Saccharomyces cerevisiae S288C: one gene and its partners. The protein of the gene in region 2 interacts with the protein of the main gene of each other region in a biochemical or structural test. Each region holds a gene or a part of one and is shown on either strand. Other genes may lie near its edges. The genes, in order: SLD3, RAD53 and DBF4.

Region 1 (5,036 bases), on a different chromosome or scaffold from region 2:
GACAGTCCTTCACTTTTAGAGAATTGTTAATATGGTCCACAGCCCTAGCATTCTTCGGTATTTTTTTTGCAGTTCCTCTAAGAAAGCAAGTAATTGTTAGAGAGAAACTTCCCTTCCCCAGTGGTAGCGCCACGGCCACTTTAATTTCAGTGCTAAATGGAACTGAGATTTTACAAGAGGTTTCTAAGTCAGAGTTATTGGAAATGAGGCAGAGGAGATTGAATGAATGCCCTGAAGTGCTACAACCCAACAGAGATCCAGAGGAGGCGGATTATTTAATGAACTCTTCTCATAGCGAACTTGGTGATTATACGGCAACTAGCCAAGATGGAAGTTCTATCCTTTCTACTGGCTCTGAGAACTACAGAGCGAATATTATTATTTTATTGAAAACTTTTGTTGTTTCTTCGCTTTACACCATGGTGTCATATTTTGTACCGGTAATACGGTCTATTCCAGTCTTCGGAAAATACCTCTCGAACAATTATCTCTGGAATTTTCAGCCGTCGCCTGCGTATATAGGCCAAGGGATAATAATGGGTCTTCCAACAGTATCGTATATGCTTATCGGGTGCTTCTTAGGCTGGGGTGTGTTAGCACCATTGGCGAGATACAAAAGATGGGTACCACCAGATGCTGATGTCCACGACTGGGAGGAGGGAGTGCAAGGATGGATTCTTTGGTCGTCGCTTTCAATAATGGTTGCTGACAGTGTAGTCGCTTTTATTGTTGTGACAGTGAAGTCCATTGTGAAATTTATTCTTATAGATGACAAAGCTGCTTTACTGAACAACATAATCGATGATACATTTCAATCTATGTTACTGGAGGAGGAACGCGCCATTAATAGCAGCAGAAGAAATACATATGTTGATGGAAGGCAGGACACCGTAAGATTAGTGAGTAGAGATAACGAAATAGAAGTAGATTCGAAGCATTTGGTTCGCTATACCACCGTTATCAGTGGATGTCTAGTCTCCTCGATAATATGCATTGTTTCCATAATATATTTGTTTGGGATACAAGTAATTCCCCTATATGCTATTATCACTGCTTTGATACTTGCGTTGTTTCTATCTATTCTCGGTATTCGAGCACTTGGAGAGACCGATCTGAATCCTGTGAGCGGCATTGGTAAGATCTCTCAATTGATTTTTGCCTTTATCATACCAAGGGATAGACCTGGATCAGTGTTAATGAACGTGGTATCGGGAGGTATTGCAGAAGCCTCTGCCCAACAGGCGGGCGATTTAATGCAGGATTTGAAAACGGGGCACCTCCTCGGCGCCTCCCCAAGAGCTCAGTTCTGTGCCCAATTGATAGGGGCCTGTTGGTCAATTATTTTGTCTAGCTTCATGTATTTGTGCTACAATAAAGTTTATTCAATTCCGAGTGAGCAATTCAGGATACCGACAGCAGTAGTGTGGATAGATTGTGCAAGACTAGTAACTGGTAAAGGGCTCCCTGATAAGGCCTTGGAGTGCTCCATGATTCTCGGAGTCATATTTGCCGTTTTATCATTAATCAGAAACACTTATAGAGATTACGGATACGGGTGGATATTATATATTCCGTCTGGTGTAGCAGTCGGTGTTGGTATATTTAATTCTCCCAGTTTTACAATTGCAAGATTCATCGGCGGGTGGGCTTCGCATTTTTGGTTGAAGAATCATAGGGGTGACTTAAATGCGAAAACAAAAATGATTGTATTCAGTTCGGGGTTGGTCTTAGGTGAAGGTATCTTTAGCGTAATAAACATGCTCTTCATCTGCTTAAATGTCCCTCACTATTAGGTATATAATATTTTACTAATAAAGAATTTACAAAGTTTACAAATTTTAAATTATTTACTCATCACATAATTCGATGTCTTAGATTTCCCTGTATATATATTTCTAGGTGACAAAAATCCTAGGCAAAATGTTATATTATACGCGACCTTGAAATATCGGCTATCTTGGTGTACAACATGGTCCATTTAAGAAAAATAAAAAAAAGTGATGGGCACTGTTAAAACAGGCAGAAGCCTCATTCATAACTGCTGAAGGGTTAAGATCGTATAGGTAGGAACGATCTGACCTCTCATAATGGAAACATGGGAAGTCATAGCATCGGTAAAAGAAGCAACAAAAGGCCTTGACTTGAGCTTAGATCATCCACTTATTATTAAATCCGAGGACGTGCCCAGTAACATTCTCCAATTACTGCAACAGAAGAATCGACGTCAATTGAAACACATCTGCATGAAATCAAGAAAAGAGTATTTTCTACTAGAGGAATATGGGCCAGGATTTTGGGTTAAGTGGCCGTACAATTATTTCAATGGTTACAGCTTACCAGAAAGGCGTACGGAAGTTGTAACGACAGTTGAAAGAGAAAGAGCTAAGCGTGAAACGTTAAAAACATGGGACGAATTGAAATTTAAAGAGCTTCTTCATTTATGGTCAGAAGAACCCAAGGGCTCGTGTAAGCTTGAGAAGGACAAAGACCTTAAACTGGATATGAATCCCCCAGATATGAAAGGCGAATCAAAAATTAATGACTACTATTCAGACCCTAAAGAGTACATAGAAAGTAAGTATTATGATGCTCTTTTTTCCATACATACGCCTCTCGCATATTTCGTCAAGTCAAATTTAGTAAGGCTCAAAAATACCTGCCGAACCAAGTACGGAAGTGACAGTTACAAAATAGCCTATCAAGCCATGCTGCAAAAATTTCTTCTCTCAATTGTACAATTCAAAGATAGACATGATAACAGGCTTTTATTAGAGCCCTTTTCTAGTCCCATAGCAGATGAAAAAAGGAAGAACTGTCTCACAAAATTTGTTATCCAAGATGAAAACAAAAACAGCTCAACCATTGCTGATTTATGTGTTGTATTAAAATCCCGCGAAATAAAGCTACAAATATTATTGCTATTAGAGATAATAGGATTGAACGATTTAGATTGGAATTTTAGAGATTTTGAGAAAAAGTATAAATTAAAATTGAAGAAAAGATCACTTAATTTGACAAAAAAGGGATTAGTTCGTCGAAGATCGAAGAAAAAAACCAGCGAAAAAGACAAAGGAATCGAGAGAATAACAACATCTTTGGATTATTGTGAACAGTTAGACTTGTACTTAGATAGAGCATGCATCTTGGACATTCTACTATCAAGTGAAACGCCCAACCCAGATGCCATAGAAGCATCAAATGGAACAATACAAGAGCATAAAAAAAATATCCTAGACAAAAGCAAAGAAGCCTCATTGGTTGGGTTCATAAATTATGTTCTTATTCCATATTTCAACAAAAAGGTACCACACGCCGTTGAATTTATAATTCAAAAGCTCAAGGGACCAAGCATGAGACCAAAGAGAGCCCTGAAAAAGGTCAACGATAGCACAAATGTATCGTCACCTAATACTGTAGAAACGTATAACAGGTTATCCACGAGTCAACGTGCCTCTCGCTCTTCAATCATTAATTCCGTCCCATCTTCACCCGCATTGAGAAGGGTGGACGCTAATTTGTTCAGCAGAAAATCTATAGCTTCGCCCACCCCTGAACTTTTGAATTCTAGAACGAACTCTAACTTGAATGAATTTCTCGAAAGTGAAACTAGAAGCTTAAAGCGCCCTTCACAATTGGGAAGGACGAAGTCTGATCTAACGATGAATCATTTACAAAAACGGCAGTTTTCTGTCTCTGACTTAAGCACAACAAGAGTACCGAATTCATCAACTATCACACTCAAAACGCCTTTCTCGCACTCAACTATTAATGCATACAAAACTATGAATAACTCTTTTCGCAGAGTTGGGAAACGTAAAGATATCAATGAAACGATACGCCTACATGAACGTGTAGACTCTGAGGAAAACGTACAAGTTCAAGCCACTCCTGCTGTGAAAAAAAGAACTGTGACACCTAATAAAAAGGCGCAACTTCAAAGCATCATTGAATCGCCGCTAAATTTCAAGGATGATGATACGCATGAAGGCAGAAAAAATACCTCCAATATTACCTCTACTCCCACTAATAAGCCCCCGGAAAATAGCTCAAAAAGGAGAGTAAGAAGACGTTTATTTGCTCCAGAATCCACATAGAATAAGAAACTGCGAGACCACCTTCGCTGGCAAGTAGTTGACCCAACTCCATCTTTGTAGCTTTTCTTGGACGAAAAGGGAATAAAATAAAACTAAGCTACAACAATTTCGCACTTCGGGGGCCTTTGAGTATACAATTAAATAACTCATCATGCATATATATATATATACATACAATGGCGTATGTAAAAACTGTTATATAACATTACCGTTGTACTATTAGTATAAACCGATTCTCACTATTCGCCAAAAAATATCGCACTAATTAATTCTTTTGCGTCGTCTCTTTTCAAAATGTGAAATCCAATAGTGACACCACACCTCTCTAGCAATTTTTCCTTATCCTCATCCGTAACTTTTTCACCTTTACCCTCGTACAAATCTGGTAAATCCTTTTTTAGAACTAACAATGCACTAATTACAGTATCAACCAAGATTTGAGTTTCTTCTTTAGTAAATTTGGTCCTAGTTGGATTGGAGTCATCGTTCAAATGTTCCTCTATATTGTCTAGAGTTATTCCGCTTTCATTGAATACCAAGCGCGCCCAATTATTTAGGTTTCCTAAGAAGAATCTGATGGATTCACCTTCTAGTACCGATACACCCTTTAAGCACCCATAGTAAGTCCCAAAAACACGGTTTATGTCCAAAAATGTCTTTAGCAGTGTCCTAGTTACTCTTGGCTTCAGGGATTTGTATGCTTGAGGAAATTTTTTCAATACATAGTCCAACAAAGATGCGGCAAAATCACGTAGTGCATTCGTTCTTTCTAAAAATTCATGAATTTCTTGCGGCGAATCATCTTTTGGTGATCCACCAAGTTTTTTTGCTAATAGCAAGGTTAAAATGGAAGGCATTAACGAATGAATATAAGGGTCCAGGAAAATAGAAGTATTGCTTAGTAAAGAGTAAATCATTTCCAAAATTGTTGTTAGCAATTGT
Region 2 (5,036 bases):
CGAATGTATTCTCTTCAAAATGTTCCCCGTATTCGCATTAATCGGTGACTCTACCAAGTCGTTTAGTACCGAATTATTGCCGTTATTATTTGTATCGCTAACTGGCGGCTTCTTAGCCGACATTGATGAAGAAGAAGCCGAGGGTTGATTTGCACGTTGAGCTGCCATCATCTGGGTTAACTTTTTCACCAAATCTTTTTCTTCGGCTGTTTGCTTAAGTACTACTCTTTGTTCTTGTAACATACCTAATCCCTCGTTAAACAGACCTGTAGTATCGTTAATTTCCACTTTAAAGCCAATGACAAATTTATTGTTTTTATCCCAAATGATCTTGATTTCATCTCCGTCTTGTAAAAGGAATTTCGTACCCTGTATCATGCGGTTATTATTTAAATAGCTCACGTTAGTTCCGGTGTGGCAATACCAAATATCATCTAAACCTTGTGCCGGAGATTCATACATGCTTTTGCCTACAGCATGCCTCTTTTTGAAAATGAAGCAATGAACTCGAGACAACCTATTGTCTTCAATTTTACAATTGCAATCCTCGGATCTACCAATGAAAAATGGATTCACACCTTGCTGAATCTCCAGGCTTTCTTGAATAATGCTGTCAGGCAATGGTTTTAAAGTTAAAAACCTACCATTACCCTTTTTCTTTGAGCTCTTGACATTCTCAGTATTATTGGAATGTAAAAGTTTTTGTTCTCTAGTTTCTGCTTCAATGCTTTTGGGCTGTGTATATCGAATAGGGGCGTGTGCGGGTATTTTAAATCCTTGAATTTTTCCATCTTGGTCTTCCTGATCCTGTTCTTGAAGTTGTTGCTCCATTTGTAATTTCCTTTGCGCTTTGACAAATTCGTATTGAGCATCGTCCATATTTTCTAATAATTTCTGCTGCGACAACGATTGTGATAAGGATATTTGTGAAAAATCACCATATGATTGTGAGCCCAATGGACTCATCTTGATCCAGGGATGATTCAAGGCTTTTGCAGCTGTCGACCTATTATTTGGATCCACCTGTAACAATGAATCTATGAAATCTCTTGCTTCTTCAGATATCCGGAAATCTTTGAGGGGCCCTTCATGATATGAGCCTCTTCCAATCTGTTTATATAATTGGTCCTGTGTGCTACCACTAAAAGGTAAGTGGCCCGTTAGGATAACATACACAAGACATCCCATTGACCACATATCCACTAACGAAGAGTACTCATTCCTTTCTTCGTATTCATCAGGAGATACGGATGTATCTTTACCTCTGATGACTTCAGGTGCCACATATGCCAAAGTGCCACAGAAGGTTTTCATAAAAGACCCATTTCCTTGTACTTTTGCCAGACCAAAGTCGGTTATCTTTACCAATACAGGATCGTCTTGTTCAATAAGAATATTATCGGGCTTTAGGTCACGATGGCTGATGCCCATAGAGTGAATGTATTTTATTGCTGTGAGTATCTGCCTGGATATCTCCCTCCCAGCATCTTCTCCAACCGCACCATGAGCAGCAACAAAATCCATTAAGTCACCACCAGAAACGAACTCCATCACCATATAATAACTCTCAGTATCTTCATAAAATCCTTTCAATCGTACTATCCTTGGATGATTGAGCTTTTGCAATACTTCTAACTCTCTTGTCACACCATCCATATTGCCTATTACTTTGCGTTTACTTATAATCTTCACCGCGAATGTTTTCCCAGTAGTTCTTTCAATGGCTTTCTTTACTGTGGCAAATGCACCCTGGCCCACCACTTCGTCAATAATCGAAAAATCCTTAAAAATACCAGTCTTGTTGGCCACCATTGATGATGCAGTAGATGATGTAAGACCAGGAGAAGCTATTTTAGAGGTATTTTTCAGGTTAGATCTTATGCGATCAACTTTGTTCTGCTCGAGGCACTGCTTAAATTTGTCGTTTATGAAAATGACCAGAGATAAAATATCTGATTCCACGCCTACACCAACGGTTATTTCATCACCTTGAGACAGTAACTGATTGCTGTTCTTCTCGACTTTTTGCCCATTTAACCAGGTCCCATTAGTGGAAATGTCATTCAATAAAAGGTTACCGTCTTCTCCTAGTAGTATTTGGAAATGCTTATTTGACAGTCTTGAAATGTTTCCTAAATGATAGTCACAGGCTGGGTTTCTACCAAATGTCCAAACTTTCTTTATGGATCGTTTTTCCTTAAGCACTTGTGAAATATCAGCTGACAAATCTCGGATGGGAATTTGACCCGTGGTACAAATGACCCTGCACACAATGTTTTCGCCGATCTGTTCTTGAGAAAACTTCTCAATCAAAAACCTTTGAGTAGCCTGCGTGGATTGCTGTGTGGGTTGTGTAATATTTTCCATTTTTAGTTGATGTTGTGTAACACTATCTTTTCTCACTATTCTCTCTTTTAAAGCTTAAGAAAATCGAATGCATATACAAAATTAGTTTGTCTTCCAATAATCTCTACCGTCCTTTTCTGCTTTCTTACCTTTTCTTGATCAGAGATTTCAAAATGGTAACTTTGGTACCCTTTATCTTCTCAACCTGTACCTTTATTCTATAAATGTTTTCATTTCCAAGTCTACCCACGGTGATGATTTTTCTGCCAATTTTACGCGTCACTCCCGTTGCCGTATCAACGCGTCCACACCACCTCACCCTCGAAATGAAAATAAATATGTTAATAGATGCACGTTTCATTGACATCTGTGACAAACACTTTCCGGCTTAATTAAAAGGAAGCAGGCTATTAATGCACCAACCAAACAAATGATGGTTCACCTCACGCTGAAATCTCATCTAATAAAGGAAGAATTACTTTGGCATGCTTTATCTCCGTCCTATAGTTGCCGATACCACGGTAGATAATACAGTATCATTCTAAAAGTACCATTTAGGTAGGTGCTGAGCGAACCAATAAGTAAGTTTTTGTTTTTTCTCAGTGTTTGCTTTGAATTTACATTGAAATACGTTGTTTTGGACGTACTACAATAGCCGCCATAATAGATTTTCGGGTAACTTTTACACTCTTCCCTCTCTTTCACGTGAGTAAGCACAGAATAAAATCCTAACGGATGTGATAGAACAAAAGGGATATCAATGACAAGAGAGAGGTACTTTATGTTAGTCGCCTGTGCAGAAAGAACAGTCCATAAACAACAATCCGTAAAGAACAATATAAATATTTAGAAAAAGATGTTGCCAGAAAAGAGACTATTGACTCCAGACGATATGAAACTATGGGAAGAATCCCCAACAAGAGCTCATTTCACTAAATTTATTATAGATTTGGCTGAATCTGTCAAAGGACATGAGAATTCCCAGTACAAAGAACCAATATCGGAGTCAATAAACAGTATGATGAACTTGCTTTCGCAAATAAAAGATATCACTCAGAAGCACCCAGTAATAAAGGATGCAGATAGCTCGAGATTTGGTAAGGTTGAGTTTAGGGACTTTTATGACGAAGTTTCACGGAATTCCAGGAAGATCTTACGTTCCGAATTTCCCTCTCTCACAGATGAGCAGTTGGAACAATTATCGATTTATCTAGATGAATCATGGGGAAATAAAAGAAGAATTGATTATGGTTCAGGTCATGAATTAAATTTCATGTGTTTACTTTATGGACTCTATAGTTATGGAATATTCAATCTTTCAAACGATTCAACTAACCTCGTGCTGAAAGTTTTTATAGAATACCTTAAAATAATGAGGATACTAGAAACTAAATATTGGCTTGAGCCTGCGGGCTCTCATGGTGTTTGGGGATTAGATGATTATCATTTCCTTCCATTTCTATTTGGTGCCTTCCAATTAACCACCCACAAGCACTTAAAGCCGATATCAATTCACAATAATGAGCTCGTAGAAATGTTCGCTCATCGGTACTTATATTTTGGTTGTATCGCTTTTATTAATAAGGTCAAGTCATCCGCCTCCTTGAGATGGCATTCTCCTATGCTAGATGACATCAGCGGTGTAAAGACTTGGTCAAAAGTTGCTGAAGGGATGATAAAAATGTATAAAGCCGAAGTCCTTAGTAAATTGCCCATCATGCAACATTTTTACTTTAGCGAGTTTTTGCCTTGTCCGGATGGTGTATCTCCACCAAGAGGCCACATACATGATGGGACTGATAAGGATGATGAGTGCAATTTTGAAGGACATGTTCATACTACTTGGGGAGACTGCTGTGGTATAAAGTTACCGAGCGCTATTGCGGCTACTGAGATGAATAAAAAACATCATAAACCAATACCTTTTGATTAGGAAAAGTCCATTTATAGATGCTATCTCATTGTATATACACGTATACAGGGTACGTACTTTTTCCATCTACTCCCACTAAAATCTTTTGGCGCTTAAGTTGGGGTTCCACGCTAGCCCCGGTTCTGACTCTTTTGTAGCCGTCTCATCCTGTTTCCAAATCTTTATGCTTTTGTCTGCTTCTCCAGTGATTAATCTTAAACCTGTTTTATCGAAAGTGCTACAAAGAACACTCCGTTCACCTTCCAGAGAGCCTACCATTTCTCTCGTGGCCAACGATTGGTATTTGTGACCAGACTTATAATCATAAAAGGAAAGCACACCATTGTCACCGCCAGCGAATAATACATCATCTTGATTAATGCTTAAAGTATTGATTATGCCTGTCTTTTCAGACTCAAAATTGGTGAGTAAAGACCCCTCTGCTAATCCCCATGATCTGATGTCATCAGTACACGCAGAAGCCACCGAAAACTCCTTAGGATGCAACGCTGTAGCTCTCACAGACCTCTTATGATGTGTTAGAACTTTCATTGTTTTCCCAGCAACTACATCCCATAACCTTACCGTAGCATCAGTCGATGAACTCACCACTTGAGGGTCTACTGGAGTACACTGTACTTGATTGATTGGACCCTTATGCCCAACTAGTGTAATAACAGGTATTCTGGTTCTCATATCCCAGAGTTTGATAACGCTATCTCGGCCTGCGGTAGCTATGAGATCCAGCGTTGGATGTATGCTCACCGTACGAACCCCC
Region 3 (5,036 bases), on a different chromosome or scaffold from region 2:
TATCAACCATTAGTCTACTTAATGACTTCATGTTCTTACTCATGACGCTTGCTCTTGTTGGGCCCAAACCATTGCCAAAAGAGGTTGCCACATCATTAGATTGATGTGCACCACTTGCTTTGATTTCAAATGCCTGACGTGACTTTGTTTTCAAAGTGCACAAATCATCCGGCACTTCTTCAGTTTCTTGCCTTGCAAAAGTAGCTAATACTGGATGGTTTAGTTTTGGTGTGGCAGCCAGCTCTTTTCGCTGTGGGTACTTATTCGATTCTTCTGCTATAGATTGTTTATTTTCTTTTTCTTCTTTCAACGGAGGCTCTTTGGTTTCAGTTTCATTTAATAATATACTATTTTTTTCATCGGTTTGGTCAGCATGTTCATTACGAACATCTTGAACTGCGCTATCATCCGTCTTCTTTAACTCGGTCTTCTCAAAATTTTTTGCCTTTTCTTGCATCCATTTTTTGAAGCTCTTGGTAGAATCGTTGCATGTGTGAGGTATGAATATTAGGTTTTTCGTTTGATCATTAACTGATGACGTATTCAGTAAGGTGTCGGCATGATATTGAAATAGAGCACGAAGTTGCAGTGCATATTTTTTGTTTGCTTTGTCTCTCGAGTATCTCTTTACTACGCGCTTATAAGAACTTTCGTCATAATTCCTATCCCCTATAAAAGGGCATCTTCCGAATGAACCTATTTTCAATATTGGGTAAGGTAGTTCGTCTAAGTTTGTTAGTTCTTGAGGTTTCCATTCCAAAGTTATTATGGGGGCCCAAGTTTGCCATAGGTCATAAAGGTATACATGAGGATATTTAAAGTAGTGAATATCGTCTCTTTTAGTTCTGGGGTCTCTATCCGTTGGTCCATATAATTTTTCATTGTGTAGAAGATTGGACAATGTGGGCGCAGCTAAAGAAGCAGATTTAGTCTTGCTCAAATGATCCAAATCAACATCAAGATTTTTCAGAAATCTGGCAGCCTTTTCGTAACTCCAAACTTTCATGTAGTTTTTTTTAGCTCTCGATAAAATGTCGGTATCTTTTAGTAAATATATGTTCTCAACAGACCTTCTTGTGATAACTATTGTGACAGTAGTGTCAAAAAATTGAGTTATTTGCGCACCCAATGTAAGAAACCCTCTTTTCAATAAATCTCTGCGTTTGTCCATCTTGGACTTATTATATGTATTCATCTCTACATCATCAGTAATGTCAAAGTAAATGCGAGAATCTCTTTTCATTATCTTTTTCCAATTTGTTTGCCATTCCAGCAATTCCTTAGGCGTAACCCTTGGCTCGACATTTTTCAGACCCGTACCTTTGCTGACTTGGACAGCGCCTTCAATAGACCTGGCCCTTTCTATTCTGGCCCTTTTCTTTTCATGCAAATGCTGCTGCTGTTGGAGCTCGAGGCGCTCAAGAGATCTTTTCTTCGGAAAGGATTCAGTGGTATTGTTATTGTTGCAATTATTGTCGTTAGAAAACACATTCAAGTGGCCCGCTGCTGTTGTTGATGCGGCAATTCCATTATTATGTTTCAAGTTGGTATCTGTTTCCTTTAACGGAGACCTTATTATCATTTTCGTTGGAGAAACCATTTTCTTCTTTCTTTTCTAAATATGAACCAAAAGCAGAATTCCAAATGCCTTTCAGATTCAAACCTTGAATTCTGAAGATAACTAGCCCTGCAAGCGAATTCAGATCTAAAGGAATCTACACCTGGCTGAGTATAGACTATGCAACTTGATTTTTGTTTTTCTTGGCCTGAGCCATTACCGTTATTATTATCGTTATTTCTTTATTTTTTTCTTTTTCGCAAAGATCGACCTAAGACGCGTTTGCAAAAAAAAAACCATTTACTTACTGCGGGTAAAATATTAAAAGAAACTTAGGCGTTAGCCAAGAACCGATAAGAAAATAAAAATAAAAAAGGTAATGAGGAATTAGATGCAAAGAGATATAGATATAAACACACACACACAAATATATATTTATATACATATGTATGGTGATATATATTCAAAAAAAAAAAGTACAGTAACTTAGAAACTATTAGTGGGACGGATTTGGTTTTCTTATTTCTTTCTTTTTAAAAAACTTTCTTAATATACACGTTTGTGGTTATAAGGTGGTGTAAAGTAATGTAATGATATACACTTTTTTTCTCAATTCTTTACCTTCTTCTTTCGTACGGTGTACTGCGAGAAGTAAAATGGGATGATGAATTAATTTTTCTAAATTTTTCTTCGACACTTAGTTATTTTCTTCTTCCCCTGTCAATCTCAGATTATCATAGGGAAAAATGTAAAGTGCTTTATCGACAACGTATCGCGTATGTATAAATTGATTCATGTTTTGCGTTTGAGCTGAATATGTTTTGTTAAATTTTGTCTTCTTTCTTACTGTTCTTTTTTATATTTTCTTTGAAACTCTTTCTACATCCTCCACATCTTCACTTTCATCTTCAGCCTTGTGGGGTTGTTTCCTATCCATGACGCTGTCGTTATCTATACTATCGTCGTCATCATCGTCATCATCTTCGAATTCGATTCTTTCGTCATCGTCGTCGTTGTCGTTATAGTTGTAAACGTCATCATCTTCAAAGGGGATATGGTTGTTTCCATCGTCGTAGTCGTCGTCTTGTAAAATGACGGACCCGTTCTCATCGTCGTCCAAATCACTATCATACCAAAAATTATCCGCCATATCCTTATTCGATTCTGGTTCATCTAGTTTACTTTGAGATATGTACGCCGATTCAGAAGTGGGCATTATGAAACCTTTAGGGATATCTTGTTTCGATCTTTCCACTTCCATTTTGACTCTTTGCTTGTATTGTTCAGGGTTCTTTCTGTAATCAACAGCGGCATCGACATTTGCTGGCGAGTTGATATTGGGGTCCTCTAATAGAGATACTATAGAGATCAACACACTTTCCACGGTCTGCACGGGGGACCACGTTTCAGCATCAGGTTCGTCGGTCATAGGATCCCCACTTTGATGTAAAATAGAAATACAAAGCCTGCCATCCCTGTAAACGTTTGGATGGTAGATAGCCGGCGTAAATCGAAACTGTGGTGGAGAAAAGGGAAAGTCTTCCGGAAATCTCATTTGAGCTTTGAAAAACCCTCCATGATAAATGGAATCCTCATTTAGCACCATAACACCTATGTTCCAAGTGAAAATATTTGAATCATCCTCTAGTTCTATATGAAATGAGGGAATAGCTTTCTTAGGATCAGTAAGTTCTCTATATTGCCGTAACAGTAAGCTAGAAGCGGTGCTTTTGCGACTACTCATATTTACGTTGTATTGTTCTTTTTTCCTTGTTTGGTGTACTAAAAAATAACAGTCGCTATAAGTCCTAAACAGTAAAGGACAAAGATGTCAGCGGCAGAGAGTATAAAGGAGTACTATTCGACTGAAATAACAAACGCAAAGCTCCTATTATTTTGTAATAGTATGCTCTTTATTGTCCTTCTTAACTTTAAGTTTCTGCTCTTGTTCTTTACAGATTCAAGAGGAAACCAAAAAAAAATCAAAGAAAAAGAATCGAATTTTTCCCAAAATGAAAGTGTAAGGAAAAAAAAAGAGGAGATAGAAAATCCGAAGAACCCCAAGGGACGGACAAACACAAGACGATGCTGCACGTGGTTAGTTTTGTAAGCGCAGGTTACGATAAAGAGCATAAACAAATCATTACTAAGAGCGGTATACAAGAATAAAGTGACAAACAGTTCTCCCTATTTAACGCACTTAACGTAGGTTCCATCATTATGATGCTATTGCCACATCAAATCTCCTTTGGACTGAACCCGCATTAGTAATTGCCCGCTTTTCTTTTCTTCCGCGGGTGGGCCCCATAAATAGAAAAAAAAAGAAAGAAAGCGTTTAAATAAATAGAGTGAGCGGATTTCTATTATCTGAAAACCGGGTTATAATGCACGTGATATGCACGTGGGAGCTGGGCGGCTATTTTTTTCTTTTTCAAATGTATTTGAGTCGTTTAAAATAGCACTCCCCGTTGACCCGCCAACTCATTTTTGTTTTCTCTTTACGGAAAAGGCTTTAAATTAAGGCCCGCATTTTCGGTATCCTTGAGGGAAAAAAACCAAAGAAACCCAAAAAAGACCACAAAGCTGGGATATCTTAATTAGTAGAGAGGGCTTTTAGTTTTAATAGTGTTACGAGTCTCTAAAAATAGCGTAGGCACACTGCCCTGATTCGGACTTTGATCAGAGTTTATTACTACAAAGAGTAATGTTGAATGATTGGGCTGGGTTTTCATAGCATTAACTCTAAGTAATATCATTCAACCGCTCAAGGTTCCTTACGAGCAAACCCATATATGCTCTACAGATAAACATATAAATAGCGTGCATATTCTTCTCTATTCAACTCTTGCTCTGTATAGTTCAATAGAATCTTACAGTACATCACGCTGCAATAGATCTAATCCAAGAGAGAAGCAAAAAAAAAAAGCTCGCTATAAAAATATCATGCAATTACATTCACTTATCGCTTCAACTGCGCTCTTAATAACGTCAGCTTTGGCTGCTACTTCCTCTTCTTCCAGCATACCCTCTTCCTGTACCATAAGCTCACATGCCACGGCCACAGCTCAGAGTGACTTAGATAAATATAGCCGCTGTGATACGTTAGTCGGGAACTTAACTATTGGTGGTGGTTTGAAGACTGGTGCTTTGGCTAATGTTAAAGAAATCAACGGGTCTCTAACTATATTTAACGCTACAAATCTAACCTCATTCGCTGCTGATTCCTTGGAGTCCATCACAGATTCTTTGAACCTACAGAGTTTGACAATCTTGACTTCTGCTTCATTTGGGTCTTTACAGAGCGTTGATAGTATAAAACTGATTACTCTACCCGCCATCTCCAGTTTTACTTCAAATATCAAATCTGCTAACAACATTTATATTTCCGACACTTCGTTACAATCTGTCGATGGATTCTCAGCCTTGAAAAAAGTTAACGTGTTCAACGTCAATAACAATAAGAAATTAACCTCGATCA

The links.
Region 1: of the proteins of RAD53 (region 2) and SLD3, one has a biochemical effect on the other in vitro, tested with the Saccharomyces cerevisiae proteins (4 studies listed by BioGRID).
Region 3: the proteins of RAD53 (region 2) and DBF4 form a complex in vitro, tested with the Saccharomyces cerevisiae proteins (6 studies listed by BioGRID, with this or other methods).

Annotation. Positions count from the first base shown.
Region 1 is NC_001139.9:293,845-298,880, forward strand, and holds SLD3 (Sld3p), read left to right. Parts: upstream 1-2,087; coding exon 2,088-4,094; downstream 4,095-5,036. Other genes in the region: YGL114W (uncharacterized protein), read left to right, coding at 1-1,793; TATA-binding protein-associated factor TAF6, read right to left, coding at 4,334-5,036. UniProt on the Saccharomyces cerevisiae protein: Required for loading and maintenance of stable association of CDC45 with chromatin during initiation and elongation of DNA replication. Also involved in temporal regulation of origin firing. Required for the association of PSF1 with origins.
Region 2 is NC_001148.4:261,826-266,861, forward strand, and holds the start of RAD53 (serine/threonine/tyrosine protein kinase RAD53), read right to left. Parts: upstream 2,368-5,036; coding exon 1-2,367. Other genes in the region: YPL152W-A (uncharacterized protein), read left to right, coding at 2,777-2,875; peptidylprolyl isomerase RRD2, read left to right, coding at 3,203-4,279; mRNA splicing protein PRP46, read right to left, coding at 4,355-5,036. UniProt on the Saccharomyces cerevisiae protein: Controls S-phase checkpoint as well as G1 and G2 DNA damage checkpoints. Phosphorylates proteins on serine, threonine, and tyrosine. Prevents entry into anaphase and mitotic exit after DNA damage via regulation of the Polo kinase CDC5.
Region 3 is NC_001136.10:559,026-564,061, forward strand, and holds the start of DBF4 (protein serine/threonine kinase activating protein DBF4), read right to left. Parts: upstream 1,601-5,036; coding exon 1-1,600. Other genes in the region: SCF E2 ubiquitin-protein ligase catalytic subunit CDC34, read right to left, coding at 2,415-3,302; PST1 (Pst1p), read left to right, coding at 4,502-5,036. UniProt on the Saccharomyces cerevisiae protein: Regulatory subunit of the CDC7-DBF4 kinase, also called DBF4-dependent kinase (DDK), which is involved in cell cycle regulation of premitotic and premeiotic chromosome replication and in chromosome segregation.